4 linked regions of the Caenorhabditis elegans genome follow. The protein of the gene in region 2 purifies or fractionates together with the protein of the main gene of each other region. This does not show direct contact. Each region holds a gene or a part of one and is shown on either strand. Other genes may lie near its edges. The genes, in order: nduf-9, cope-1, mrpl-49 and tmed-10.

What was found.
Region 1: the proteins of cope-1 (region 2) and nduf-9 fractionate together in Caenorhabditis elegans (co-fractionation; one large-scale study listed by BioGRID). This does not show direct contact.
Region 3: the proteins of cope-1 (region 2) and mrpl-49 fractionate together in Caenorhabditis elegans (co-fractionation; one large-scale study listed by BioGRID). This does not show direct contact.
Region 4: the proteins of cope-1 (region 2) and tmed-10 fractionate together in Caenorhabditis elegans (co-fractionation; one large-scale study listed by BioGRID). This does not show direct contact.

Annotation. Positions count from the first base shown.
Region 1 is NC_003281.10:3,240,739-3,251,308, reverse strand, and holds nduf-9 (NADH dehydrogenase [ubiquinone] 1 alpha subcomplex subunit 9, mitochondrial), read left to right. Parts: upstream 1-2,733; 5' UTR 2,734-2,735; coding exon 2,736-2,896; intron 2,897-3,025; coding exon 3,026-3,236; intron 3,237-3,525; coding exon 3,526-3,581; intron 3,582-4,146; coding exon 4,147-4,489; intron 4,490-7,450; coding exon 7,451-7,605; intron 7,606-8,210; coding exon 8,211-8,328; intron 8,329-9,193; coding exon 9,194-9,445; 3' UTR 9,446-9,592; downstream 9,593-10,570. Other genes in the region: Y53G8AL.4 (Apple domain-containing protein), read left to right, coding at 771-792, 1,465-1,538, 1,757-1,942; Y53G8AL.1 (FHA domain-containing protein), read right to left, coding at 10,046-10,153.
Region 2 is NC_003281.10:13,424,550-13,430,085, reverse strand, and holds cope-1 (Coatomer subunit epsilon), read right to left. Parts: upstream 3,823-5,536; 5' UTR 3,733-3,822; coding exon 3,658-3,732; intron 3,609-3,657; coding exon 3,510-3,608; intron 3,462-3,509; coding exon 3,285-3,461; intron 3,231-3,284; coding exon 2,904-3,230; intron 2,858-2,903; coding exon 2,774-2,857; intron 2,623-2,773; coding exon 2,506-2,622; 3' UTR 2,365-2,505; downstream 1-2,364. Other genes in the region: Kunitz-type protein bli-5, read left to right, coding at 373-435, 896-1,034, 1,511-1,702, 2,149-2,363; exo-1 (Exonuclease 1), read right to left, coding at 3,986-4,178, 4,240-4,727, 4,777-4,858, 4,909-4,982, 5,038-5,133, 5,187-5,474. UniProt on the Caenorhabditis elegans protein: The coatomer is a cytosolic protein complex that binds to dilysine motifs and reversibly associates with Golgi non-clathrin-coated vesicles, which further mediate biosynthetic protein transport from the ER, via the Golgi up to the trans Golgi network.
Region 3 is NC_003283.11:12,725,225-12,731,285, forward strand, and holds mrpl-49 (Large ribosomal subunit protein mL49), read left to right. Parts: upstream 1-3,406; coding exon 3,407-3,533; intron 3,534-3,577; coding exon 3,578-3,712; intron 3,713-3,753; coding exon 3,754-3,908; intron 3,909-3,957; coding exon 3,958-4,104; 3' UTR 4,105-4,193; downstream 4,194-6,061. Other genes in the region: nssp-67 (Neuropeptide-Like Protein), read right to left, coding at 685-702; R11D1.13 (DUF148 domain-containing protein), read left to right, coding at 1,988-2,125, 2,168-2,278, 2,321-2,359; rpl-28 (Large ribosomal subunit protein eL28), read right to left, coding at 2,457-2,635, 2,682-2,883; zfyv-19 (FYVE-type domain-containing protein), read left to right, coding at 4,297-4,356, 4,401-4,547, 4,605-4,781, 4,828-4,980, 5,376-5,644, 6,025-6,061.
Region 4 is NC_003283.11:11,322,064-11,330,154, reverse strand, and holds tmed-10 (GOLD domain-containing protein), read left to right. Parts: upstream 1-3,190; 5' UTR 3,191-3,208; coding exon 3,209-3,313; intron 3,314-3,433; coding exon 3,434-3,496; intron 3,497-3,546; coding exon 3,547-3,871; intron 3,872-5,751; coding exon 5,752-5,873; 3' UTR 5,874-6,190; downstream 6,191-8,091. Other genes in the region: F47G9.6 (DUF1968 domain-containing protein), read right to left, coding at 45-189, 272-535, 581-755; str-141 (Serpentine receptor class r-10), read left to right, coding at 6,335-6,514, 6,587-6,668, 6,764-6,842, 6,890-7,024, 7,119-7,260, 7,352-7,480, 7,529-7,706, 7,754-7,833.

The sequences.
Region 1 (10,570 bases), about 10 Mb from region 2:
ACGCAGACGACGAGAGCGCGCGCGCCGCCTGCGTCTCCCCTCCCCACACTCTCTCGTCACCGCTAACTTAAAACGCATGTATCGGGAGATAACTAGGTTCGAAGTCTGAATTTTGAGATTTTTGAGTTTTGTTTTAGGAAATTAGAATTTTATTGTAACAGGAAAGGATGTATTAACTGATTTTTCTGTGAGAAAAAAGTATAAAAAAGTTTGGAAAAAATTTTTAAAAATGTCCAAAAAAATTTTTTTTAGATAACTTATACCGTGAAATTTTTTCAAATTTCCACTATTTCCAATTACTCTTTTCAAAAATACCCTCTTAATCAATTTTTTCGCTCCTTCACGCCTTCAAGCCCCTATGACGTCACCAATCCCCAGTGAAAGGGGCCCATGCCTACCCCTGCTAAAAACTACAATATACCCCTAAAACCATCCCGTGAGTAATCAAAAATCGCGTCTAGCGCAAGCTTCCGGCTGAAAAATGCAAAAATCCCAAAAAAAACCGCCCAAAATCGTGCAAAATCTCAGAAAACTGGGCGGAAGAGGACACAAATTCGCCTCTTTGGAAGAGGAAATTACGTCGTATTGTATCGAATGACACCTCTCCCGCGCAACACGATATATATAGGGGACCTTTAAATGGAATAAGACCTATTTGCTAAATTTGGAAATTTGTTGGAAAAAAAAATTTTCTAAACAAAAAAATTTTTGTTTCGGAAATTTTTTTTCCAAAAGATTTTTCCGAAATTTTCTACTATTTTTCATCTAAAATGAACGGATTAAACCACTTATGTAAGTTATTGTTGGATTCAGGACCCACGTGGCCTAGAAACCCCATATTCGGGCTCAGTGGCCTAGAAAATCCAGAAAAGTTAGGCCACGCATGGTTTTTAGCAGAAAACCGTTTTTTTTTTCAATTATGTTTCGTAGAAAACATGCATAATTTCATGGATTCCCCAAATTTTTCTTAATTTTTCAGACATGGCTGAGAAAAAAAACCGGAAAAGTTAGGCCATGGGAAATTTTTCACAAAAAGTGAAATTTTTCCGTGAAGAATCTATTTTTTTCAGTTTTAGTATGAAAAATTTGAAAAATTTCGTTGCTTTTCAATAAAAAACTAATTTTCAGACGTGGCCTAGAAAAATAACCGGAAAAGTTAGGCCACGCAGCATTTTTCTAGAAAATTGCAAATTTTTCGAGAAACGCGTTATGTCTTCACTTTTAATTTTGAAAAACGTGCTTAATTTGCTTTTTAATCAAATTTTTTCAAATTTTAAGACGTGGCCAAGAAAAACCAGCTGAAAAAATAGGCCACGAAATTTTTCTTCGAAAAGCTCCATTTTTCCGCGATTTCGCCGCTGGAAATTAACTTTCGGCCAACGTTTCTGTGAAAATTATTTTTTAAAACTCTAAATATCTGCCAAAAAACCACTGTGGCCTAAACAATTCCATTGATTTTTCCAGTATTCTTCTTACTTATCGTCACGTTTGCCGGATTTTCATTTTCCCGCCCCGACCACCATTCGAGGAACTGCAAAGTAAGTGCGCTCTAGCGAACAACGAAGCTGCAAACGCGCTCCATTGAGAATTTTGCTTAAATGGTGGAAATCTCGGGGGTTTCTGGAGATATATCGATTTTTATTCGATATTTCGCTGAAAAAAATTGAAAAATTTGAGAAAAATCATTCAAAACCCTAGTTTTTCGCCGATTTTTTCCGCATTTTTTCAAGAATTCGGAATATTTTTTGATTTCCAGGCTTACCGACGACCGGCTCTAAACGAAGTGCTCACGAGAATATGCCTACTTTGCCATGAAATGTTTTCAGTCGACCAGCCGAATCTAGCCGCCGAGTGCAGCTCGAATTGCTTCAGGAATCCGGCGTTTAACAAGTGTCTCAACTTTTTTAGGCCGAAATTTTCTCCTTTTCTGGGTTCCACGTGATAAATAAATTGGTTTTAATCGTTAAATTTGAATTTTAATTGACTAAAATTGGTTAAATCGAGAAAAAAAAAGAAAAGAACCACAGTGCGGAGTCGAACCCCGGTGTGTTGCGTGAAAGGCAAAAGAGTTACCAGCAAAGCCACAAAGCAATGTGAACGTAATTTTGAGAGGCGTATACATTGTAGCCATAAATGCTTATTATCTCGATAGCGTATAATATTAATAATTGAGAATTTTGATGTCATTTTCAGTTTAATCTACCAGTATTCTTCTGTAATTTCGCACATTTTGAAGAAATCCCTTGAAAACTTCGCATTTCTATTTAATTCAAAGATTTTAATAATTTTTCTTGAATGTAAAACAAGAAAAGTAATATTTCATTAATTTTTCAACAATTTAGATTGAAAACTCTCTTTAAAACCGCCTTTCTCACCAATTTTTGCTAATTTCAAAGCTTCTCATTCCTCCTTGGAGTACGGTCATCAATCCCCGCCCTTCCAAGTGCGCATTCGAGTCCGCAAACGTCAAACCCGACGCCATATTGCGTACAGGCCAAATTATTTATTTCGGCACCGCGTACTTCATTTTCAGCCATTTTTAGCGGTTTTTCCAGATTTTTTCGCTATTTTCGGTGCTTTTTTGATAAAAAATCGATTTTTTCGACCGGAAAAGCTATTTTTAGCTGGAAAAAATCCCGAAAAAACGCAGAAAACCCATTTAATTCTTAAAAAGTCTTTAAAAATCTTTAAAAATCTTTAAACAATTGCAAATCTCGATTTTCCTAATTTCAGCCATGCTATCAGTGTTGGGTAGATCCGGCTTGGGCGCCCGGCAGGCGGTTTCGGTCGTTGGAAGTCAGAATTTCAGCAGCGCGGTCACCTCCGCCGAAAATGCTCATCCGGAGCCACGTGTCAGCTCTCAGAGTGCTCAATTCAGAAAGGGAGCCGGTGGAAGGTACAGGAAAAGCCTAAGAATGATTTGAAACTGGAAAATGTGGAAAAAATCTAGGAAAAATTGAAAAAACATTGAAAAAAAATCAATTTTTTCCCAAAAAAAATCGTTAAAAATTCCAAATTTTTGCAGAGCCTCCTTCTCCGGCAATGTGGTGACCGTATTCGGTGCGTCAGGCTTCTTGGGACTTCCAGTTGTCAATAAATTCGCGAAAAATGGCTCACAAATCATTATTCCGTATCGCCAGGATCCGTATTACATGAGAGAGCACAAAGTGCTCGGCGAGCTCGGACAAGTCCTCTATTTTCCATTTGAGCTGATGGATGAGGAGAGCATTCGAAAGGTATTAAAATTCGTGGAAATTGAGAGAAAAATCGAGTTTTCTAGGTGAAAATCGAGAAAAATTGGATTTTTCTCTAGAAAATCCAGAAAAAATAGAGTTTTCTCAGTGAAAATCGAGAAAAAATGGGTTTTTCTTTAGAAAATTCAGAAAAAATAGAGTTTTCTCAGTGAAAATCGAGAAAAATTAGGTTTTTTCTCTAGAAAATTCCGAAAAAAAAAGAGTTTTCTAGGTGAAAATCGAGAAAAATTGGATTTTTCTCTAGAAAATCCAGAAAAAATCAATTTTTCAGGCTGTAAAGTACTCGAACGTCGTCATCAACTTGATCGGAACTCGTGTGCCGACTGGGTGAGGAAATTGCAGATTTTTGAGCGGAAAAATTCACAAAATATGCCGGAAATTCAAAAAATTCAAATTTCGCGCCGTTTTTGACCAAATAAATCACTCTTTTTCGCTGAAAATTCGAAAAAATGCCTGAAAAACCTTCAAAATGTGGAATTTAACCCTTTTTTCCTACTGAAAATTCAAAAAATAAATTTTTTTACACCAAATTATCATTCAAAATTCAAAAAAAAAGCTCTTTTTTTCCAGTTTTTTCATTGAAAAACTCAAAATTCCTCACTTTTTCCAACTGAAAATCAATTAAAAATTGAAAAATCCCCTTAAATTTTGAATTTGGCTCCACTTTTTGGCTAAAAATTTGAAAAATGTCCGAAAAATCTTCAAAATTTTGAGTTTCGCGCCGTTTTTTTCACTGAAAATTCAAAAAATATTTTTAAAAAATTCAAAAAAAACTAAATTGCTCAATTTTTCTCCAAAATTTTCGAGAAAACTGCCATTTTCTATTGAAAAATTCAAATTTCCCCACTTTTTCCTTCTAAAAATCCCAATTTTAAGCCATTTTTCCTTGCAGAAAGTACAATTACTATGACGTCAACGACACGGGAGCCCGCCGTTTGGCTCGAATTTGCAAAGAAATGGGTGTGGAGAAATTTGTGCATTTGTCGGCTCTCGGAGCAACTACACAACCACAAAAGGGACATTTTGTCGCAAAATCGCAATTTCTTCATTCAAAAGGACTCGGAGAAGTTGCTGTACGTGAAGAATTCCCAGAAGCAACAATTATTCGCCCATCTGTGATCTACGGTGAATTGGATGGATTTATTCAATATTATGTGTCAAGATGGCGAAAAACTCCATTGGATTATGTGTATTTGTACAAGAAGGGAGAAGAAACGTATAAAATGCCGATTTGGGTACGGAATTGGCCGATAATTCATGAAAAATGACCTAAAATACGTGAAAATTGGCCGAAAATGACTGAAAATGGCTGAAATTTGGCACAAAATTAAATATTTTAACGAAAAACTCACAAAAACCGAGATTTTTTGAAAATTTACGATTTTCACATTAAAAATTGTCAAAAAAATTTTATTTTCCGTTAATATTGATTAAAATTATAGAAAAATCCATTTTCAACCGAATTTTGAACGAAATTAATCAAAATTTCATAAAATACATTTTAAAAAAAGCTCAAAATACGTGAAATTCGCCAAAAATGCTGAACAATTACTTAAAATTCAAAAAAATTGAAGTAATTTGACCAAAAAACTGAATTTTAGTCAATAAAAATTCAAAAATGGCTGAAAATTGTTTGAATATTGAAAATTGGGCGAAAATTCATGAAAAATGACCTAAAATACGTGAAAATCGGCCAAAAATGACGAAAAAAAATTTTTTTTTAAAGTAGAAAATTTCATGAAAATCGAGAAAAATGGTGTAATTTGACCTAATAACTGAATTTTAAAAATAAAAAGTCGAAAATCCGTGAAAATCGGTCTAAATCTACGAAATTTCATGAAAATTCGCTTGAAATTGAGAAAAATGACTCAAAATTCATTACAATAAATCCAAATGAACTGAAAAATGTCAAAATTCATAAAAATTGGCCTAATACAAATAAAATGAGTCCAAATATTTATGAAAAGTCTCGAAATTTCATATAAAGTTGCTCAAAATACGTGAAATTCGCTAAAAATTGCTGGAATTTATTTAATTTGCTTAAAAATTAGAAAAAAATTTCAAAATTCAAGGAAATTGGCATAAGTCCGTCTAAAAATTGAATTTTAAATTTAAAAAGTCAAAAATTCCAACAAATCGGCCAAAAATTACTGAAAATTGTTCAAAATATGACCAATTTTTGTTTGAAAATCGGAAAAATTACTCAAAATTCGAGAAACGCTGTAATTTGCGAAATTTTATGAAAAAAAAGCCTTAAAACCATTTAAATTGGCCAAAAATGACTGAAAATGGCTGAAATTTGGCACAAAATTGAAAATTTTCGGAATTTCACCCAAAATTTCATAAAATTTGATAAAACTAGTCGAAAATTGGTAGAATTTCGGCAAAAATCGTATTTTCACACAGAAAATTGTCAAAAAATTGCTAAAAATGACAAATTTTGACTGAAAAACTTGAATTTTTGCTTAAATTTCATCAAAATGTAAAAATCGGTAAAATTCCAGAAAAATTCACCGAAATTTGCAAATTTTGGCTTAAAATTGTCCATTTTTGCCGAAAAAAAATTGATGGTAGGCGGCGGTAGGCATAAAGTAGGCACAATTTTTTTTTTGCGAAAAAATGCAAAAAATGTCCAAATTTCGCATATTTTGACTCAAAACCTCGGCCAAAAATGGTGTAATTTGACCTAATAACTGAATTTTAAAAATAAAAAGTCGAAAATCCGTGAAAATCGGTCTAAATCTACGAAATTTCATGAAAATTCGCTTGAAATTGAAAAAAATGACTCAAAATTCATTACAATAAATCCAAATGAACTGAAAAATGTCAAAATTCATAAAAATTGGCTTTTAATACAATTAAAATGAGTCCAAATATTTATGAAAAGTCTCGAAATTTCATATAAAGTTGCTCAAAATATGTGAAATTCGCTAAAAATTGATGGAATTTATTTAATTTGCTTAAAAATTAGAGAAAAAAAATTTCAAAATTCAAGGAAATGAGGCTTAAAGTTACCTATAAACGCTGGAATTTGCGAAATTTTATGAAAAAAAGCTTTAAAACCATTTAAATTGTCCAAAAATGACTGAAAATGGCTGAAATTTGGCACAAAACTGAAAATTTTCGGAATTTCACCCAAAATTTGATAAAACTAGTCGAAAATTGGTAGAATTTTGGCAAAAATCGTTTTCTCCTCAAAAATGTAACAAAATTTTCGATTTTCACACAGAAAATTGTCAAAAAATTGCTAAAAATGACAAATTTTGACTGAAAATCTCGAATTTTTGCTTAAATTCCATCAAAAATGATGATTTTTTCAGAAAAATTCACCGAAATTTGCAAATTTTGGCTTAAAATTGTCCATTTCTGCCGAAAAAAAATTGATGGTAGGCATAAGTAGGCACCATTTTATTGCGAAAAATGACCAAATTTTGGATATTTTGACTCAAAACCTTGAATTTTTGCCAAAATTCAATTCATTTTTCGCACAATTTCAGTAAAAATAACTCAAAATTTACCATTTTTTGCCGAATTTTCAACGAAATTGATCAAAATTTCGAGAAAATCGGCGAAAAATCACTAAAAAAATCTCGATTTTCTTGCAGGTTGCTTTTTTAGTTTTTAGTTTTAGTTTAAAAAAGAAAAATCGGCCAAAAATGAGTGAAAATTGTTCAAAATAGGCCCAATTTGTTTGAAAATTCAAAAAATTACTCGAAATACATACAATTCGGCCTAAAACTGCCTATAAACGGTGGAATTTGCGAAAATAAGCGAAATAAAAAAAAAAGCTTTAAAAACGTTTAAATTGGCCAAAAATGACAAAAAATGGCTGAAATTTGGTCCAAAATTGAAAATTTTGAAGAAAATTGACGATTTTTGACGAAAAACATACAAAAAATCGTTTAAAAATGTTATCAATTCCAATTTTCGGTAATTTCCCATATTCACTTGAAAAAAATTGTTGAAACATTGCTAAAAATGGCAAGTATATATATTGAATTTTTTGGTTAAATTCCATTAAAAAACGGTATTTTCGCGCGAAATTTCATTAAAAGGAGTGAAAATCCGTAAAATTTCAAAAAAAATTCACAGAAATTTGCAAATTTTGGCTCAAAATTTACCATTTTTTGCCGAGTTTTCAACGAAATTGATCAAAATTTCGAGAAAATTGGCGAAAAATTCCGATTTTCTTGCAGGTTGGAGACGTTGCCGCCGGAATTCAAAGTGCTGTAAATGATCCAACAGCAAAAGGACATACTTATGAATTTGTTGGACCACACTGCTATCAATTGTCTGAATTGATTGATTTCATGTACAAAAAAGCGCATTGTTTGTCTGATTTTGGATTCAGGTACCCGGTTTTTCGATTTTCCCGCCGAAAATTGGCCTAAAATGAAGGAAAATTGCTAATTTTTGGGCAAAAAAATCATGAAAATTGATAATTTTTAACGAGAAATTCATGAAAATTGGACTTAAAAATCGTGAAAACTGGGTCTCGCCACGAAAACTTTATTTTTTTCAAATTTAAAGGCACATGGGTTGTGCATCAATCAGGAAATTTTGAAAATTCGAATTCTCCTCAAAATTCTAGGCTTGTAGCTTTAATCGGGTCTCGCAACGAAAATTTCACGAGTACAGTAACCCGCGAGATATTATTCCGTGGCGAGACCTTAAAAAATCAAAAAAATCAATATTTTCACTGAAAATTGATGATTTTTAACGTGAACTTTATGAAAATTGGCTAAAAAATATAAATTTAGACGTAAAAATCGTGAAAACTACATTTTTTTTTGGGTCTCGCCACGAAAAAGTTGAAAAAAAAAAATTTCTTGAGTACAGTAACCCGCGAGGTATTGTTTCGTGGCGGCGGGACCCAGGCGTGAAATTTCGAGAAAAATCGCGAATTTTTCAATTATTTTCGTGGCGGGACCCGAGAAAAAGCTCAAATTTTTGCAGATACAAGCGTCACGGAATGCCGGATCCATATTTCATGGCTCTCACAATGGCCACCGAACTCTATGGTAAAGTGTTCAAGTGTAAAGTTCCACTCAACAGAGAATGGATGGAGTTTGTGGTAGGTTTTAGGGCTTAAAATGAGCAAAAACGCCTCAAATTTTAGATTTTTTTAATTAAAAATCGGTTTTCCGCCAAAAATCGGGCAATTTTTACGGAAAAATCCATTTTTTAAGTGAAAAACACTTAAAAAAAACTGATTTTTGAGTCAAAAAATTGGAAATTTCGGAAAGCCTACCTACGCCTGCCTTGTGCCTACCGTTGAATTGTTAAATCAGGTAGGCGTAGGCACAATTTTGAGGAATTTTTTTTGTAGAAGTGGCGGAAACAACCCGATTTTCATCAAAAAAATTCGAAAAAAATCGAAAATTTTTTCAAAATTATCGATTTTTAGTCGAAAAATGGATTTTATTGATTTTTTTTTTTGAAAAAAAAATTTAGCGAATAAAATCGATAATTTACGGAAATTATCGATTTTTTGTTGATTTTCAAAAAATCGATAAATTCCGATTTTCCGACAAAAATTCAAAATTTTCTGAAAATTATCGATTTTTTTTGCTATTTTTGTAATTTTCAGATAAAAATCGGAATTTTTTTAAAAGAAAAATCGAATATAAAATCTTAAAAAAATAAAAAAAATTTAATATTTTTAAAAATTACCGATTTTTTGTCGGAAAAGTGATTTTATCGATTTTTTGTTGAAAAATTTCCGCGGAATTTTTTTTGAAACAAAGATTTCTGAAAATTATTGATTTTTTTTTCTATTTTTCGCATTTTTCAATTGAAAATCGGAATTGTTGAAAAAAAATCGCATAGAAAAATTTCCACCGATAATTTTTGAAAATTATCGATTTTTGATTAAAAAATTCGCGAAAAAATCGATAATTTACGGAAATTATTGATTTTTTCTAATTTTGCATTTTCAGGAAGTACAATCGGACATTTTGACGGGCGAAAGAACTCTCGCCGACCTCGGAGTCCGCCGATTGACTGAATTCGAATTGGCTGGTGGACAACAAGCATTTTATCGATCATTTAATCGATATTTCGAAGAACAATATGGAGAACTTCCGGCTCCATCACTTCCACTTCGTTCACCACCACTTACCAAAAAGAACACTGGCCGAGGAGCAACTGGAATCAAGTCGGAAACGAGCAAAAATGTCGCTTTTAATTAAGATTTTTTTTAATCGATTGTTTTTTCGATTTCTGTGTTGTCTTTGGTAGTTTAAATAGAGCGATTTTAATTTTTTTTTGGTTCTAAATTTTTTTTCTAGAAAAAACTGAATTTTGTATTTATACGCGTAAATGAATCGAGAATTTTGATGGGAAAAATTGGTAGATTTGCAAAAATTCTGAAAAAAAATTATAAGAATCCTGAGAAATTATGAAAAATAAGAAAAAAGAGCACAAAAAATCAGTAAAATCAAATTTCCTTTAAAAAATCGATAATTTTCAAAAATTATCGATTTTTGTCCGAAAATGAACGAAAAATCGATAATTTTTGGTAATTATTGACTTTTTTCGGAAAAATAAACTAAATCAGATTTTAATTTGGGCTGTTCCGAAAATTAGCAAAACAAATCAATAATTCCTTTTTTTTCCGACAAAAAATGGATTTCTTTTCGAAAATTATCGATTTTTAAATAAATTTTCACACAGGAACTCTACAAAAAATAATTTAATTAATTCAATTATTGCTTTATTTTTGTATATATCCGACATGAAAGAAATTAAAAAACACAGAAAAATCGATAAAATAACCTATAAAAAATCAATCAATAAAGTATAAAAGGCGGCCGATTTCGCAGAGTCTCCCGAATTTTTTGATCTTCACTTTTCGAGCGGCGTTTCATTGGTGGTGAGAAGTAACGGCGGATTGGATACTGAAAAATAGTCATTTGAAATGAGAAAAAATCGATAAAAGTCGTAAAAATGGCGAAAAATCGATAATTATCGATTTTCTGGAGAAAAATCGATTTTTTTGAATTTCAATGAAAAATCCAATTTTTAAGGGATTTTTGTTATGGAGAACATAGTTTTCTTCAAATTTTCCAAAAAAAAAAAATCGAAAAAACGGGTTAAAGAATTCCGAAAATCGATAATTATCGATTTTTCGGTGAATTTGGCTTTTTTTTTGAAGTTTAAGCATTTAGGAACATTTCGAAACTAAGTTTTGTGTTATATATTGTTTATATACCGCAAATTTCTTTAAAAAATCGAAAACTCGATAAAAATCAGCCGAAAATCGATACTTTCTCTCGATTTTTCTCAAAAATATTGATTTTCCGGTAAATTTTATA
Region 2 (5,536 bases):
TACACCAGGTAGAGCATTTTTTGGAACATAATTGAATAATACATCAATCGTTTCAAGGTAGACTCATAAATTTTTATTAGATCAGATGGAAATTTCAGAGTCCAAAACTCCCGGGATAAAAGATTTTCTTGATCCTTTTAAGCTTATTATGTATGTACTTAAAACGTGTCAGTTTCAAACCAATAAATTTCCGTTCTGCTACCAGCTTTTCCTTTGCCTCCATTCACTTCCTTATCCAGTTTGTTACACTTTCTATTCATATCACTTTTCTCTTTTTCTTTTCACATAAAGTCTCACTTCATCTTTTTAATAACACCTTTGCAGTATCATTTATCGATCATTTGGTTTTAAAAGGCGTTTAGTTTCAGAACCATGGTATCTATCCATAATTCATTCATCTTATTGATGTTAATGATATCAATTTGTTTTTGTGAGGTATGTTTGAAACGGCACGTTTTACGTCTGGGCAGGACGAACATCCTCATGTTTGAAAATATTTTTTTGGATTTTTAATTTCGGATTTTTTGTGGCTGCACTCTTGGTTATAATTATCGTAGAATGCGTTTTTATTCTCTAATGTGGGAGTATCTTCAGTGAATAATTTTTCTAATTATTTATAATCCACCATGTTAAGTTAGTGTATTTTTTTTTAATTTTCAAAAACATTTTTAAAAATTAGGCGTTTTGATAAATTTCGAGCATCGCTTTACATCGTTAGGTAATCAAACATAATTATAAAAAGCGACTTCCAAAGTTATTACAGGTGACAAGTTGTAAAATTTCTGCACTTTTTGAATGCATACAAAAATGCTTAAAAATTATTTGGACAGTTTAGCCCACCTTTAAACTTTAAATAAGTTTTCTGTTTAATATTATTAATTCCACATAACTCCAGAAATGCCTGACCAATGAAGAATGCGATTTGAAATGGCCAGACGCAATATGTGTTCGTGGAAGATGCCGTTGTTCTGAGAATACAATTCGAAAGAAAAGTGCATCAAGAGAATGGGTTTGTTTGGCAACTAATGATGCAAGTGAGTTAGAAAATTATTCTTTAATTTTGAGTAGATTTTCTGATTTCCTTACTCTGGCAACTAGTTTGCGAACTAGCAGAGCAAATATTTCCGTTTATTTAGAGTTTTTAATTTTATATTCAAAATAAACTCGCAACTAGAAAAATTTTATAGCAAAATCGCTAGTCTAATGTTACCTTATCCTCACTTCTATCCATCATTTATTCTTGCCTTTTATACATCGATATTTGTGTTTTTGCTTCTTCTCCAATGTAGCCATTATTTTCTTCTCATCTCTTTTTTATTTTTGTTTCGTTTTATTTATGTAATTTATTTATGTAACCACTTGTGATGGTTTGTATCTATTAATGTGTGTTCTTTTTTTTCTCTACCTCACGATATCTTACTATCGTAATAAATTAAATTAAATTAAATTAAATTAGTAGCCAATATATACCAGTTTCATATAGTCCATCAACTATATATAATATCTTCAGCCGGCAACTCGGGTCCTCCATTGACATGTCCAACTCCGGAAGGAGCTGGATACCAAGTAATGTACCGAAAAGATGGAGAACCGGTGAAATGTTCGAGTAAAAAGAAGCCAGATACGTGTCCAGAAGGATTTGAATGTATTCAGGGATTATCAATTCTTGGAGCATTGGATGGAGTTTGTTGTCCTGATAGAGGTATATATTCCCTTTTTGATCATGGTAGGCACACTTTCTGCCTTTCACGCGGGCCTGCCTATGTTTTCACATAGTATCCCGTGGTTGGTGTGTGCACAGTATTTATTTCAATAAATTAGAGCAAGGCTCGTGTGCGTAGGCCGCCTTGTAGGCAGGAAATATTATGAAAATTTAGATGCTTTCCGTTAAAAATACGGCAGACGGTCTCGACACGACAAATTTTTATTAATTTAAATTGGGTAAGGTTTGCGCCTTCAAGGGGTACTGTAAAATTTCACAAATTTAACAAATCATCAGAAAATCGATGAAAAGTCCGCAACAGCAGAAGTTTGGAACTACAGTACTCCTTAAAGGCGCACATCTTTTCGCATTTAACAAAAGTTTGTCGTGTCGAGACCATATTTTTATCGCAAAAATCTCAGAATTTTTTAAAATCAAAATTTCAGCCAAAACATGCGTCCACCCAATATTCGATCATCCGGATGATGGATATCTGTCTAGATGGGGATTCGATGGTGAACAATGTATTGAATTCAAATGGAATCCCGAAAGGCCGTCATCGGCAAACAATTTCAAAACTCGCGCACATTGTGAGGATTACTGTATCGGTTCGATAAATGGAATTACTAATTATCATCAGTCCAACTTTCATCTTTTCTGAGGTTTTTGGTTCCACACTTTAATTTATTTTTCTCATAATTTTTACATCGATTTTTTCAACCAATAGACGTGCATAATTAGAAACCAAAGAAATCACATTGAGAGAGGGCGTATTTCAGAAAATAAATAAGAGATTATGGAAATTAGGCTCTGGAATCGCTGGCGACTCTATCGAATTCGGCTTCCTTCTCATTGAAATCGATAACCCATGGATGATTTGGATGCTCATGCTTCAGCTGAGAGATGAAACGTTCGACGACCTGAAAAATATTCAGTTTAATATTGTTAAATTTTTGGAATCATTAAAAAATAACTTTAAATTTTTGAATTTCTTAAAAAAAATTGAGTTTAAACATTTTTTAAATTGGGAAAATTACACTTTTTTCAGGTTTTAAAGTGAAGGAAACTAACATCGTCATCTTTTTCGTTGAGCTGGGCGGAAACGATTGAGTTGATGAGCACATCAGCATCTTTGTTATCTCTTTCCAGAGCACTCTGAAAATATAAAATTATTAATTAACTTAAATTTCTATTCTCTCACCTCCAAAAGCTCCTCTGCAGCAGCATAGTCTTGAGTCAAAATACTAACAACAGCTTGATGCATCTCCAAATCAGTAGTTCTTCCGTATTTATCAGACATTTCGCTGTAAATGTAAAGAGCATCTTTTACTTTTCCAGATGCACCGAACGAGGTGACGAGAGCATTTGCGAGTTGAGAAAGAGTAGCGTCCTCGTCGATTTGATTCATTTTCTTCACTTCACCAATTGCAAGCTTCCGCTTGTTCATTTTAATGAGAATAAACACCTTGGAGGCACGAGCCTCGAGACCTTCGAAACGGGAAACTGCACGGAATGCGTCTTGGGAGAGCTGAAATTCATTCTTGGTAATTTTAAAATAACATTAAATGTATAAATATCTCACATCAGCTTCATTGAGAATAGTAGCGGCAAGAACAGCTGCGATTTCTGATTTAATGTTTCTTGAGGCAACTTCTTCTTGAACTTCAGCCAGAATCTTCTTCTTGGCAGCTGGATTGTTGCGGAATTCGGCGTACCTGCGAACAGCAGCTAAATCAGCAGACTTCGTGGCGGCTGGGATCTTAAAATAAATAAAAGAGTTCAGGCTTGCTCATTAATCAATAACTACCTCTTTCAATGGAATAAAAGCTTGTCCTTGTGCAATATACGATCTGTACAAATAAACATCCTTCTCCTGCTTTTCCTCTTCGTTTTTCGATGAGAACTTCTGAAATATTAAAATAAACCAGGAAATCGAAGGAAACAAGATTTCTCACCAAAGCCTCTCCAATACAAGACTGATAACTTCCGAGAAAGAAATAATTGCGAATCGAGAACAACTTGTCAGCCATTTTTTGAAATCTCTATTGAAAAAGGGGAGATATTTAGAATCGAGAATAAAAGCTCGATTAAATCGGTGAAAAATTCACCACGTCACTTCAAAATATTTGCGGACAAAACACCATACTTCACGCGCAATGTAATATTGCGGACTTTCAATAAAAGAAGAAAATAATTTATTTTCGGAAAAAGGCACAAAACGAATATTTTACGTAACAAAAAACCGGTATAAAATGATAATAACGAAAATAAGTTTTTAAAAAATTATTGCTTCGATTTTCTACGGAGTCCTGCGGATTTAAAGCCAACAAATCGATATGTGGTATTTGAACTAGGCATCGGAACACTGTTCTCTTCCAATGCAGCGAGAATCGTAGTTTTCTCGATTTTTTCTTCAACTTTTTGCGTTGGTTTGACAAATGCAGGACATCGGAATGGATTTTTCGTTTTGGGAACTCTGAAAAAAGTATTTAGATTATATTTTTATTAATTCACAAGCGGATTGTTTTGTAACTCGCCCATTTTCTGAAGTTGGTTTAGAGAAATACTTGGAAGTTTGTGCAGGTTTTCTATCCGGCAACGACGGAGGAGCCGAATTTTGATGATTGAGAAGCGGCGATTGAAATTTGTGAGTTTTTCTTGCCGAATCAGGAGTTGAAACCGCTTTTCGAAGAATCGGAGGAGGCTTCAGCTCTTCGTTGCTATTTTCAACTTTTTCCTCGGCAACACTTTCCTTGGTATTTTCTTTCACTTTTTCTTGAAAAAATTCCGAGAAATCATCATCGATTACTTCCAGAATCTTTTGTCTCTTCTCCGGTGGTGGTTCTGCATACTTTTTGAGAAGAACATCAGCATTATAGTCCACTTGAGGCGCATTTTTCCGTTTTTTGATAGCCTTCTTTTCTTTTTCGATATCTGCCATGAATTGCTTCACAATGTCATCTTCGTCATCGTTTGGGGTAGTTTTCGAAGCAACTTTGACACGCTTCACAGACGGCGAATCGAGCTGGAAAATTTTATATCGTCCAAAATTTTGAGATTTTCATTCTTCTTACCTTGAAAGCTCCACCACATTGCGTAGCTTCTAACTCTTTCTGTTTGCTGATCTTGTCTAGTGTGCTTCCTTTGCTTTCATATCTTAATTATTTAATAGAGTATTCACTACTATTTCAAAGTTATATTTCTACCGTAATCCCCAGACACTCCATTCCGGGGTTGGCTGAACTAGAAGAAACTGATCGTCGATTGAGCTCTTGTTTTCCTGAAAAATGTTCAAGTTATGTAATAAAACTATATGCTCCTAAAGAATTGCTAACCGGATTTCCTAGCGCTAACCGAATAGCGATTCGCTGAGTAGAAGCTGTTCCTGCATACGCGAAACTTTTGGAGCTTGGAGCCGTCTTCTTTGGTGACTGAAATTCACATTTAAACGATATTAGTGACTAGATAAGCTTGATGAGCCTACATCCAAGTCTATAACCTCCTCCAGATCGTCGACTCCAGTCATCAAAACTTCTTTTGGGTACGGTGTCAACGGCTTCTGGCACCGTTCTCTAGGATCAAATACAATTTGATGTTTGAATGTATTTTCCGCCTTTTCGAAATTTCGAATGAATTCATCGTTCACGTGCTCCTTGAGCTTAGGATTTTTCAGGTATGATGGAACTTTTCGGAGCAAAGTTCTGAGATCCTTGATTGATGTCATGGAGAAAAATTTGGCAGCTGTGCTCAACCCGACGCCTGGTAGACCTGCCTGAAAAGTATTTTTTTTCGATAAACAATTTGAGCTTTTTGCTTATGTTTTTGTTCTTGAGC
Region 3 (6,061 bases), on a different chromosome or scaffold from region 2:
CAAATGGCGGCTATCATATCATTCCTACAAATATGTGAATGGATCACGAAAAATGGGAAAGTTAAGTCTTAAAATAAGGTACCCTTCTCATATGATATCAAGAACGAAATATTTGCAAACCTAGACATCACAAAAATGTGTTCCTCTTAAAGTAGTACAGTAACCCACTCCCAATTTATTTAGACTTCTTGACGGTATTTTTGCTTATAGATTTTAAATTTTTGCTGTAAACTTCAATTTTCACGTTTTCCAAATAAACTGGTCAACAAAAAATTTTTAAAACCGTTTAAACTTGCAAAATAAAGAAACTGAGGTTACTGTGTTATTTAAAGGCGCACACATTTTCTGCTGCCCCGATTAAAAATACTTCGTTCGTGACGAGAGCGGGTAATTTAAAAAAAGGAACATTTGTCAATTGGAGTGGGTACCGATTTCCTTTAGTTAAATCTATAATTGCACTTTTCATTCCTAACAAAATTAACGAATGTTAGAGCTTTCATAGAATATAAAACGATAAATCATTTTAGAAATTTTAATTTTGTTTTGGAAGTCAATAAACGGATGTCTTAGAAACGAATTCTAGAAATGAAGAATATTTTTATTTATTTTCAGATAATTCGAATTTCCAATTTCAGAAAACTTGCTCAAAGATCTTTAATTTGATTTTTCAGTTGCAAAACTTACCAAATTGAAGAACTGCATATTGAGAATAATATTGATAGGCTGATCGCACAACACACAGAATTCTTATTGAGAACCAAAAGAGTAGAAATGAACGAGCACACACAAAAAGTCTTCATGTGCTCACGCCCCTCCCACCTTTTGCTCGAGCTCCGCCCTTCTTAGACTTTCATCATTTTCTGGAGGTTTTCGAGTTGAGAAAAAATTATCTGAAACCAAGGCAACGGGTTCATGGATATCGTATTATCTCTATTAATACTGCATTATGTTTTAATCTTATGCGCATGGGTCTCGGCACGCCGATAACGAGCTACTGTAACTCATGTCGGTTTCTTGCATAATTTTCGACTTTTCTCAATTTCAGACATATACGTAATAATAAAGCTTTTCACACAATTATGTTTGGAAGATTGTGTACTTTGTATTTTTTTTCCACTTCTACGATTTTAAAGGAGCGCATTTATGCGGAATGGTCTCGCCACGCGCTGCGAACGAATTCAAAAATTTGATGTGTGCACCTTTAAGGTTACTGTAGATTTTGCTCAAAAATCTCCATCGTTTTTTGTCGTTTTCTTCCTTCACTAATAAAGAAAGAATACATTTATTTCGTTTTTGAAACTATTATTATGAGTAATTTGAATACAAATAATACAGAAAATTGAGAAAGGAACTTGTAAAAACAAAGTATTGTATTGTATTGTATTGTATTTATTACGATTCAAATCGTGATCAAAAATAAATAAAAATAAATAGTGAATAGACATGAATAAGTTAAGGCCGAAACATCATAGAGAGATTGATAATAATCACAAAAATTGATAATAAACATACAGTATTGGAAGAAAACAAGAAAAATCGATGGATTTCAGTGCAAATTAATACAGTAATCTTAAAGGCAGATATTCAAAGCTTTTTAAATCAGTTCACCGCTCGTGTCGAGACCATTACTCTTTAAACTCTTCAAAATCGTAGAAGAGGAAAATAATGGAAAATAACTTCGTTCTTCCAAAAGCAAGTGAATGTGCTTTTCAAAATCTGAACATTTCTAAATACAAAGTTTTGGAAGTGTACTTTTTTACAACCATAATTATATTATAACAAACAGTAATTTTCAGTCAGACACCATTTTCATATTTCTCGATGCTGAAAAATTTGCAACAACTTAGGATAATCCCAAAGAACCGATCCAAATGAGAAAAAATACCATGCCCTATAACCGGTTTCAACTGAACCTAAAATGTCGTGATCGACCTTTCGTCGAATGCATGCCCATTCAACGTTGAGCCGATTTGAGTGCTATTTCAACATGAAATTTTTGATTCTGTCCTTTCTTCTCGTATCAATTTGCTCTGGAGGTGGTGGATTCCCGATTCAAATGTTGACAAAATGTGGAATTTCAAAAGAAACCATTGATGGCGTTCAAAGTGTAATCGACGAACATTCGGTATTTTTAAAACGACTTCTTAGATATTGAAAAATTTTTCAGGCAATGATTAAAATTGCTAACTCGAACAAGCGTGCCAAAAAAACCGAAATCGATTCTTTGAAGGCAGATATTGATTTATATTTAGATGAACATGCATCTGACGACGACAAGGTAGGATTTCTAATCTAAATTTTACATATTTATTTTTTCCAGAAAAGATGGATTGAGTGCTTCACAAAGAACAACTCCTAATTGTCTTGATTTTTCACTTTTTTTTTGAATAAAAAATTTTAACGTGTTGATAAGCTGTAACACTTTATATTCATAACAACAACGTAACAAACGTCATTTATGCGTCAGTCTTTTGGACCTTAGCCTTCTTCACTTGGGAGCGGACGATGGCGGCGGCACGACGTTGAGCGAGCTTGTTGAACTTGTTGAATCCGGCGTTCTTGGCCAAGCGACGGACTGAAGCAACTGGGGTCTTGCTCAAGGTGGAGGTGGTGACGGCCTTGGCTGGTCTTCCCTCTGAGAAAAAACAGTGTAAAAAATAAATTTTTAAAAAATCTCTTACTCTCGTTCTTGGTAGATACAACGACTCCCTTGGCGGCGGCGCTGACGTCGATGGCGTGCTTGTTAGCGAGTCCACTGTATTTTGGGCTGTTCACCTTCTTGAGGTTGAACTTCTCAGTGGAGAATCGCTTTCCGATTCCGCGCTGGGTTCTGAGGAAAGCGCTGTTGTTGCGGATGACTTGCCACACGAGAGCGTCGGACATTTTACCTGGAAATAAATTATTTTATGATGAAAGTTAAATACAATAAGATACAACGGGAAACGTAAGAAAAATTCAATAAAATCAATTGTACACGTAGGTTTTCAAGCAAATTTAAGAATACAATTTTACAAAGTCCTAAATGTCATTTTTCCTGCTCAAACTTTTGACTGAAATGCATAAAAATTCGCTGATAAAAACAAGCAGAATACGCCAAAATAGTTGCAAATTATAAAATTTACAGAATTAATACAAAAAATTCGATATTTTACTCAAAAAAATGGAAAAAAAGAAGAAAAATAAATTAAACTTTCGTTGAGCTGGCCTAAAATCTAATAGCAAGCGCGCTCCATTGCCAAACGGTGTAAACGCGGAGCCTCGTTTGCGTGTAGTTTTTATCGTAAATCGACACAACTTCTTTCAAAATAAATTATTTCTTATGAGTAATTTTCTGCATTCTATTGTTGTGTTTCAATTAATCTTATTTTTAATTTGATTTTATTCAAAATTATATAATTTTATTAAGATGCTGGGTTCTTCTCTCCGCATTTTCTCCCCTCGAGCAGTTTCCAGGTTGTCTTTTTCAACAACTTCAGTCGAAAAAGCTGAGAAACTTTGGGAAAATCCATGGAAACATGCTCTCCCTGAAAAGTGTAAGTTATTTATTATCATATAATTTTTCTACTAGCAATTACAGCCAGAAGTCTTGCAACGGTCGAAGAAGCTCCTATCGATTGGTCGTATGTGGAAAGATTGATGCCAATAGAAGTGGTGCCGAATGTTCCTGAGCACGAAAAGTATCCTACACCAAGCGGATGGACACCACCGACAGGTATATACAGATTAAATTCATACCGCATCGAAATATTTCAGAAGCAGCCAAGACACATCAATACTACATTCGACGTCGTCATGACCATCTTCTTCCTCTTTATTTGGAACGAAAAAGGGATTTACTGAATGAGAAAACGTTGGATTTTGATTATGTCGAGCTAGTAACTATCAGAAACGTCGACGGAGACATTTTTGTAAGTTGGGAACATTATTAAATCCTGAATCAACATAAATATCTTTCAGGCTTGCGAAAATGATCTCCGCTCCTATCTTGAAGAACATCTTGGACATTCGATCGCCAGTCACGTCGATGAGTTGAAAGGTCGTATCAAAATTAAAGGAGCTCCACGTGTTCTTATTGAGCAATTCTTCTACAGCAAAGGATTCTAGATGTATTCTTGATATATCTTTTAGTTTTTTATCTAGGCAGATTTGTTTTGTTGTGAATTTATTGTTGGAGAATGAACTAGAAAAATTCAATTGTCTACTTTATCATTTTTACCTTCAAACCGGTTATTTCACCGTCATTTCCTTATTCTCTTCATTTTGTATCATTGCGAAATGCCGAAATTCTTCTCTAGAATGCCTTCCTCAATTTGTTGCACAAACTGCAGAACTAAATATTCATTATTAAACAGAGAAGTTATTTTCTGGCATCAAAAACTAATTAATTTCTATTTTTTCAGGCCGGCTGCTCGAATTGTGCTCTCTCCTTCTGTAAGAAATGTCTGCCTCATCGTGCAATTATTCCCACACTTTCGGATTTACCAATGATTGTCTGTAACAATTGCTATCAAAAATTGGAATCTGCCAAAATGAAGCCCAGCGCGACTGTAAGAAAAAGAACAAAGTAAAAACTAAATAGATATTAATCCCACGATTTTTTTCAGATAACATCAACGCCTCTACCAGATAATTCGAATAAATCGAATAAAAATTGGTGGGGTGATGGACTTCCACCGCCATCATTCAGGAATTCGCACACAAATCAAAATCAGATTAAAAATAGTGAAGTCAAAGCAACTAAATTCAGGAATTCGCCAGAAATTCCATCGCAGCAGACCAAGGTAATTAGCGTCACGGAATTTTCTTAATTTATTTTTCAGTTTTCAGCCAAATTATCCGACCAATGACCTGGAACAGCGAAGACTTAAACTGCGAGAAGATATTTCACCACAAATTGAACCACTCAGTATATCAGAAATTGAAGAACGATTAGCAAAACTTCGAGAATGTGATGTAGAAGTGATACGTAATCCTCAAAGTGTAAGTTGGACAAGGATGTTTTTAATTAAAAATGTGTCTTAAATATAGAAAATTACTTGATTCATCTGAAAATATAATTTTTTCAGTTGAAAATTTAAAAAAAAGTGTTTAAAATGACCTTAAAGTTACAAATTGCAGATAATCAAATTAAAGAGCTCTGTTTTCGGCAATTAACAACTTTCAGACCGTTTTCGTGAATTTTCTCAAGCGTTTCAACTGAAATACATGTTATTTTCTTTCAAACAAAATAGTTTTCTATATTTTGACACTAATTTTTATTGTAAGATTTTAGAAAAACATTGGCCAGTAGGTCGTTTTGTAGAGTTTCCGAAAATAATTGCCGTCCACCTCAGAAGTTGATTTTTTACGCCTAAATACCATTTTTAACATTTCAGTGGCTAAAGTCTTCTTCCAAGGAACCTGCGATGAACGCCAATAATCCATCTGAATTAATGCGAGTAGCTGAAGATCGTGCAAGAATTGAAAAAAAAGAAGAGGAAATGGAACATAAAGACTGGGATGAGCTTGAAGCAAGACGTAGGAAAATATTTGAAGATGAAAAAGAAAAAAATAGAGAAGATGATGCTTCAATACGAGAATCAATGGTTTCTGCAAACACAGAGTTTAGTGAAGCAACGAAAGAAGAAATGAATGAGATTAATAAGTGAGTTGGTGAATTTTTTATTTGAAATTAAACTGAAATACAGTTTTTTTTGAGAATTACAATACTTTTCAATAAAATTCAGTCAGCAAGCTGTAGAACTGGGACCGAAAAATTCGAACCAAAAAAAATCAAACAAAATTTTTTTTGGATTCGAAAATTGGAACTTTTTACAAAAACTGAAAACCACAGTTTGCTAAAGAACATTTGTAAAATATGAAAAGTGTTTAAAATATAGAAAATTAGTTTTTTGGTGTTTTGTCACAAAAACCAAAAAAAAAAACAAATTTTCGTCGAAATATTACAAAAATAAACAAACCCCAAAAAAGTACTAACCCTGCTGTAGACTTTTAAAGTTTTACGCATATTCAATAGTATTCCAGTATTCTTCAAGACGCAGAACAACGTGTAGCTGAAACC
Region 4 (8,091 bases), on a different chromosome or scaffold from region 2:
ATGCATTAATGGTTGGCTTATATAGAATTTAGCTGAAAACTCACGAGTAGATAGGTAAATTTGTAGGGATTGATATAGGCTCAAATGCGTAACCAAGAGTTCTTACAAATTTGTAGTGGATGCTCATATGATCTCGATACTGACAGCCGTAATATTGAGCTGGGAAATAGTTATTGGTGTAAGCAAATACTGAAAAAAAAAGTTATTTAACTCAAAATTAAGTTTTCAGGTTAGTATAACAAATCATTGCTTTATGAGAATGAGTTCTTACAATTGTCTTCTTCGGAAAAATATTCATTGTATTTATGCAATCCCACCATCCACTCTGTTGATAAGTAACCCGATTTCGCCACAAGTTTATCAGTTGAAGCTGGAGAGATCTCGAACTTAGATCTCCCTTCCCGATCTATTACGTGATACACAGCTCTGACCTTTTGGGGAAAGTTTTGGCACGAGTCAACACTACAGTTAAGATCTTTTAGAAACATTTCCATTGTGAATCCACGAACTGCGTTGAAAGATTGAGAGTTGAAGTCTTAATTATTTTTAGATATAAATATGAAGGGATATTACAAAATACCAATATTATTTAGAACATCCGATTGGGAAAGTTTGATGAAAAATACTGACTTCATGGGTGACGCATTTGTATCAGCGAATCGAAAGATCGGTTCAAGGACAATTTGTTGAATGACTCTCTTTGATTCAACATTGAAAAGAGCATAATTAAAAATTAGAAAAATGAGAAGCCTCATAATTTGTATTATAGGATCCGGTAAACTACCAAATCACAGAACAAAACACCTACAGTAAACTCGTGGCATTGTTATCATGTTAATGAACTGTTAATGCATATTCATCACATCTCATTTACAAAAGAAAGATAACAGGAAGTTAGAAAATTACATGGAATAAAAATATGAACACTTTGTTGAATGAGGGGTTGAAGAGGACGCTTTCAGCAATTTATGCACCGCAAATTTTTCGTATTCTTATCAACTTCGCAATTAATTTTCCATGTTGTGTGTTTTATTTTAGTTGTTTTAATCAATCAATATATTTTTTTCGAAAAACTATGGAAGATCTAATAATATTCCAGCACTATGAAAGTTTGAAACTACAGTATTCTTTAAAGGCGCACATCTTCCCGTATTGAATAAATAATTTTTGTTGAGACCGGTACCGTATTTTTGGCTTAAAAATAGCACAATTTTGCATGTGAGATATTAAGATACGTGCAAAGTTCATTTGCATTCATAAGAAATAGGTTTTGTCTTTTCTTGAAAGCAAACATGTCTTTAAATATTATTTTCCACAGCGCCTCAGATCGGGAGAGAAGAGCTAAAGAAGTGGTTTTGGCGCGGGAGCGCGTTTGCTGCAGACGTCGCACGAATTGGAATTAATGTGTAACAAAACAGTAAAATATCGCGTTTTTGCTGGATTTTAGGGATTTTAAAGCAATTTTCAACATGCGGGACCGCCCAGAGACTGTTCGCGATGCGATTTACTTCATTTTAATATAAATTTTCCCCCAAATAAGCTCGAAATGAGCTCTGAATTTCGGCGGATCTGAAAATTTTTTTTGACCAAAAACAGAATTTTGCAAATAAAAATTGATTTTAGAGCAATTTATTGCATAAATATTCAATTTTAGAATTTTTACTAATAGTTTGAATCTTTTTAAAGTGTTTTAGTCATTAATTTGACTGATAACACAGAAAATGATTTTTCTTTACAACGAAATCGATAAAAAAGTAAAGCAACATTTATCAAGGGAAATCTTGCAAAATTGGTTAAAAAACTTGTATGAAATCAAAGATTTCACTAGAATAAAGCTACAAATCAATCAAAATCACTAAAAGTACAAATAGTTCTGATCAAATTTCAATGTTCCAATCTACCAATGGATCTATGCCACGCCAAATTTCTTATGCAAGTGTTGCTCTCCAATTTTCCTTAAAAAATGGATCAAATACTCACATAAATGATCAAATTAACATTTTTTACAAGTTTCGTGTTATATTTTCTTTTTCTTAATAAGGAACCATCAGGTTCTTCCTGCCCTCTACGGCTCTAGATACCTCAACTTCGACAACTCCTATCTACTCGGAGAGGTGAGAGAACTTGTAGAGCACATCAAAAACTATGATATTCAATTTAACCTGCGTTTTTATCTTTCAAGATGGGGGAGTTAGACGTACATTTGTATTGCATGCTTTTTGTTATTCTACTGGCTGCTCTAACTCCCTCATCTTAAGAGATAAACACATGATTTTAACTAATTAGTATAGTTTCTACAATTTCCTAGTTAATCACTTTTTGATATCTTGCATCTCTGAGGAGATAGGAGTTGTCGAAGATACAGTATCTATAGCTATGCGCATATGAAGAATCTAATGGATTCTCATCATGCTATACTACTTATCATCTGCTTTTTGTGGGAAACAATGATTCAAAAATGTTTTTTCAAATGATCAAACAAGTTGTGATTTGATCTGAACATTTAGTGTTGGTTTAGTGAAGATCAGCTGCCAACTAAACAGTTTCCGTTGATGTGGGCATTTTTGAACAATTTCAAGACGTGAAACCGTGTTATCTCTATCAAGCTGACGTTTAAAAATTGGAATCAAACATATTAATGCTTGAAAAAATTTGTTTCGCGTAGAAATTTTGTCATAAAGTTAACTTGTTCTAGTCGGTTCGAAAATCAATGAAAAAGCAGCCAAATCGTGAATTTGTTGAATAAAATGTTTTTTAAAACTTTTTTAAAGCAATAATAATCCCAATATTTAATTATTTTTTCCAAATTTCATCTTGAAAACTCGAATAATCGCGAAATTTCGTCTGAAACTCATTTAATACCGTAAAAGTGTGCAAACGCGCTCCGTTGGACTTTCCTATTCTCGATTTTCTTAACTCTCCCGATTTGAGGCGCTGTGTTTTCCTGTTAAAATGCGTTTGTCAACGTTGACAACTCAACTACGGTTGCCAATGCGTGTTTGCGTACACACTCGATCCCACGCGCAACTGCATACGCCGCGTTGGTTTTAATTCCATCTTTTTTAAATTTATTTTCGGCGTTTGTATTGATTTTTGCTGTGTATTCCTTTAACATGAACTGATTTTTGTCCATGATAACTTTTGAACAACTTAATATTCATTATCGCATTTTTCTTACATTTATTTCCAGGTAATCATCCGAACAATTATGAAATCTCTAGTTATCTTTCTGTCAGCTATCGTTCTTGCCCATTCTCTGAGGTTCTACGTGCCACCAAAAGAGAAAAAGTGTCTGAAAGAGGAAATTCACAAGGTAAATACTTTTACAACTCCTTGTTACCATAGCAGTAAAGATGTCAAACATACTTTTTTTCGTTAAAAATTGATATATTTAATAAACATCAGAATTTATGTCTAATAAAACCTCTTGCAGAATGTGGTCGTAACAGGAGAATATGAGTTCAGTCAAGGAATTCAATACACTGGAAGTATTCACGTGAGTAAAAATAGTTTCAAAATTACTTCAAATTTTTAATTTATTTTCAGGTCACCGACACCAGAGGCCACACTCTCTACAAACGTGAAAACTTTGCTGATCTAAAAGGAAAATTCGCGTTCACTGCTGACGAATACGACATCTTTGAGATTTGCATTGAGAATCATCCACCAGCTGGGCATCCTGGAGAGAAGCGCGAGGTTTCTCTTATTTTGAAGCACGGAGTCGAAGCCAAGAATTATGATGATATTGCCAAAGCCGAGAAGCTGAAGCCACTCGAGGTTGAACTTAGAAGATTGGAGGATATGGCTGATTCAATCACCAAAGATTTCGCATTCATGCGCCAAAGAGAGGAAGAAATGAGAAATACGAACGGTAAGTGTTTAAAAAATCATTTGAATCATATAAAAGGTTCGTAATTATTTTAATTTAAAAATAATGCATTGCCGATTATCCAAGTACAGTGCTCCACATAATGATACGGCCACCCCCAAATTTTGGTATAACTCAAAACTGGGTTGAGATAGCAAAACATAATTTCTTGTGAAAATGTCCGCTGTACTGGCTAACTTTCAGATAAGTATTGGAAATATACATGAACCGTTCGTAAAAAAAGATAAACCATTTTTTCATGAAAATCCATATAAAAAAATCCACAAAATGATACGGCCACCCTTGGTTATTGTTTTCTTTTTTCGTTTTCTTTGCAATTTTTTTTGCTAAACGTTAGGTTTCATGTTCGTTTGTGTTTTTACAGCTATGTGTCGTGGAATAACTTTAACTGACTACGGAAAAAGACAAATTGTGCAAAATTATCTCAAGGCTTTTCGGATCGTCAGATTTCTCGTGATTTGAAACGTTCGAGAGATATGATCATTCGATATGCTTCAAATCCTGCCGCTCATTGCACCAAACAGTCTTCTGGTCGCCCACCACTTCTTTCTGGTAGAGACAAGCGAAAAATCGTTCGTCGAGCATCAAATTGAACAGTGACTTTCTCAAAAATTAGGCGCGAGATGAACCTGCCAGTGTCTGTTGAGACTGCACGACGTGTTCTTTCGAATTCCCAGTTTATCAAAAGACGAAAATTGAGAAAGGCTCCTTTCATTACCGAAAAAACCGCTAAAATCGTATTCAGTTAGCTAAAATCAGCCAGAGAACTAACTGGAGACAAGTGAAGATTACCGTATGATCATTCAAGCCCAATTTTGGTTTTAGTTCATCTTTTCTTCTCTCAAATCGTACCAGTAATCACGGTAGCCTTCTGGTTCATCACAGTTAAACTTTTCCTCGTCACTGAAGATGATCTGAGACCAATACATGAGCTTGAATGATCATACCGTAATCCTCACTTGTCTCCAGTTAGTTCTCTGGCTGATTTTAGCAAACTGAATACGACTTTGGCAGTGTTTTTCGGTAATGAAAGGAGCCTTTCCTAATTTTCGTCTTTTGATAAACTGAGACTTCGAAATAACACGTCGTGCAGTCTCAACAGACACTGGCAGGTTCATCTCGCGCCTAATTTTTGAGCAAGTCACTGTTCAATTGGATGCTAGACGAACGATTTTTCGCTTGTCTCTACCAGAAAGAAGTGGTGGGCGACCAGAAGACTTTTTGGTGCAATAAGTGGCAGGATTTGAAGCAAATCGAGTGATCATATCTCTTGAACGTTTCAAATCACGAAAAATCTGACGATCCGAAAAGCCTTGAGATAATTTTGCACAATTCGTCTTTTTCCGTAGTCAGTTAAAGTTATTCCACGACACATAGCTGTAAAAACACAAACGAACATAAAACCTAACGTTTAGCAAAAAAAAATTGCAAAGAAAACGAAAAAAGAAAACAAAAACCAAGGGTGGCCGTATCATTTTGTGGATTTTTTTATATGGATTTTCATGAAAAAATGGTTTATCTTTTTTTACGAACGGTTCATGTATATTTCCAATACTTATCTGAAAGTTAGCCAGTACAGCGGACATTTTCACAAGAAATTATGTTTTGCTATCTCAACCCAGTTTTGAGTTATACCAAAATTTGGGGGTGGCCGTATCATTATGTGGAGCACTGTATTAAGCTTTTATTATCATTGTTAATTAAATAGATTTGTAAGGCTACAACATATCGTTTCGAGACGCAATTCATTCTCTTCACGGAGCAGGATATTGTGATCCCTGGAAATTGTTTACCACTTTACTTGAGCAAACTCTAATTATTCGATTCATCGACAACCATCTATTTTTTACTTTTTTTTACAGAATCGACAAACAGCCGAGTTCTTTACCTGTCCATCTTTTCAATGCTGTGCCTTCTTGGTCTTGCCATTTGGCAAGTTCTTTTCCTCCGTAATTACTTCAAGTCGAAAAAGCTTATCGACTAGATTTCCCCAACCCTTAATTTATGATTAATTTATCAATTTTTTTTTCGGTTCTCCTCAACTTCTTGCTTTTCCCCCAACATCTCTTTTGTCCACACACCCAAACGTTTCATGTGATTTCTAATTGGTTCCCACATCTTTTTTACTAGATAATGATGATAATGAGTATTTTATTTTGTTGGATTTTAGTTGTTTCCTCCCCCGTTAATCTGCACAAGTATCAACAAAGGGTAAAATGTATAGTGTGTAATGTTTCCGTCTTATTTTTCTGTTTTCATCATTGCCGTTTTTTAAAATCATTATTATGAACTTTTAAATTGAAACATTGAAACATCAATTGGTAATTTACTCACCATATGGTGATTTAGTAAAGTACATAAGATCACTTTTCAAGAAGTCTTTTTCAGACGTCATCCTTTCAGAAATAACTTCAGACTTCATTCTCCACCAGTTCACTTACAACAATGATCGGTCTACATATTTTCCACTACGCCGGCTTTTTCGGAGCACAAATCTTCAATACTGTTCTGGCAATATTAATTGTGAAAAGAGCTGGAAAACTGTTTGGTAGTTACCGTCATGTTATGTTTGTATTCACATTTTGTTCGATGTTGTACTCTGCAGTAGAGATAATTGCACAGCCGGTACGATACAATAGAAAATTGGAACTTGAAATTGAAATTTTGAGAATGTTACTTCAAATAATCGTCTTTCAGGTACTATACATGAAAGGTCCAATGTTTGTCGTGTTTCTTGATAATAACGTTTTTTCTCAAGGCATTGGAAATGTAGTTGCTTGTTAGTTTTAAACATTTTACTTTTCATAGAACTCTTAAACAAAAAATGAATTTCCCTCTTTTTTTGGTTATTGAAGTGAAAACAACAATTTACAGGTCTTCATTGTGGTACCTTTGGATTTTTGATTTCTGTATTTGCGGCACAGTTTTTCTACAGATACATTGCATTGTGCAGGTTTTCTTGAATAGATTCAACAAATTTCTGATTGAAACTCTTTTCAGACAAAGTCTGTTATCTTATTTCGATGGATATAAAATATTTTTGATCTTCATTCCATGCGTAATTACATACATTCTCTGGTTTGAACTTGTCGTTTGGGGAATGTCTGCGACTATGGAAAAACGAATCTATTTGAAGTTAGTGATAATTTCAGCGTCCATGAGTAGTTCAGTAGCTTTTTGAAAACGTGGCCTCTAGACGTGATGAATCAGTTCTGACACCTAATTTCAGAGATGATTTTAAAAATATGTATGAATCAGATTCAATGATGATATCTTTTATTGCTCCGTTGTACTGGAACAATGGACCAAATAGAGAGAAAGTTTGGAGATTTAAAGATGCAGCCTCTGCACTAGTCTGTACTGGAATTATTGTAAGTTGCCATACCAGTTTTGCCAGAACACAACTCATACATCTGCTCTGTGCCTTTGTATAAATAGAAATATCAAGTAACAAACATTTAGGGATCATTAACAACTTTAATTTGCTTCTTCGCGTTACGAATTTATCTAAAAATGCAAAAAGAAAAAGGTCATATGAGTAAAAGAACTCTGGAATTGAACAGGCAGCTTTATATAATGTTATCAATCCAGGTATGTTTTCTAGATGATAACATATATTTTAAATATTGAAATGTTAAGACTATTGTCCCATTTATAACAATGTACATCCCAGTGGGTCTTTTCATTGTTCTCCCATTTTTTGATATGGGATTAGGTGCGTATGTGAATTATCCCAGTGCCAGTATGTCTTTGTATCCTGCAATTGAACCATTAATTGCAATTTATTGTATAAAAGACTTCAGAAAGACTATAGCTAGTAAGTTTAATAAGTATTCTTATCGTGAGAATTATCACAAATTTCAGATTTCTTCCGGAGAGTTCGTGTTGGTCCAAATGGCATAAGTGTGTACAGTACTAGTGGAACACAGATGGCAATCAAATAAACAATCATATTTTAAGTATAACGTTTCCTACTATTTTTGCATGCTCTACTTTTTTTTAAAAATAAAGTTCATATGACTATATACATATATGAATATTTTCATTCTGGTTCTTTGAAAATATGATAATACTTGATCTCAATAGACTTTAAGGATCGATCTAATAAAAATGTTACTTGGAATACAACTTACTAACTTGTAAAAAACATTGGCTTCAAGTTTTCTGAAATGAGAAAATTATCCCTCGAATGAAAGTAATCA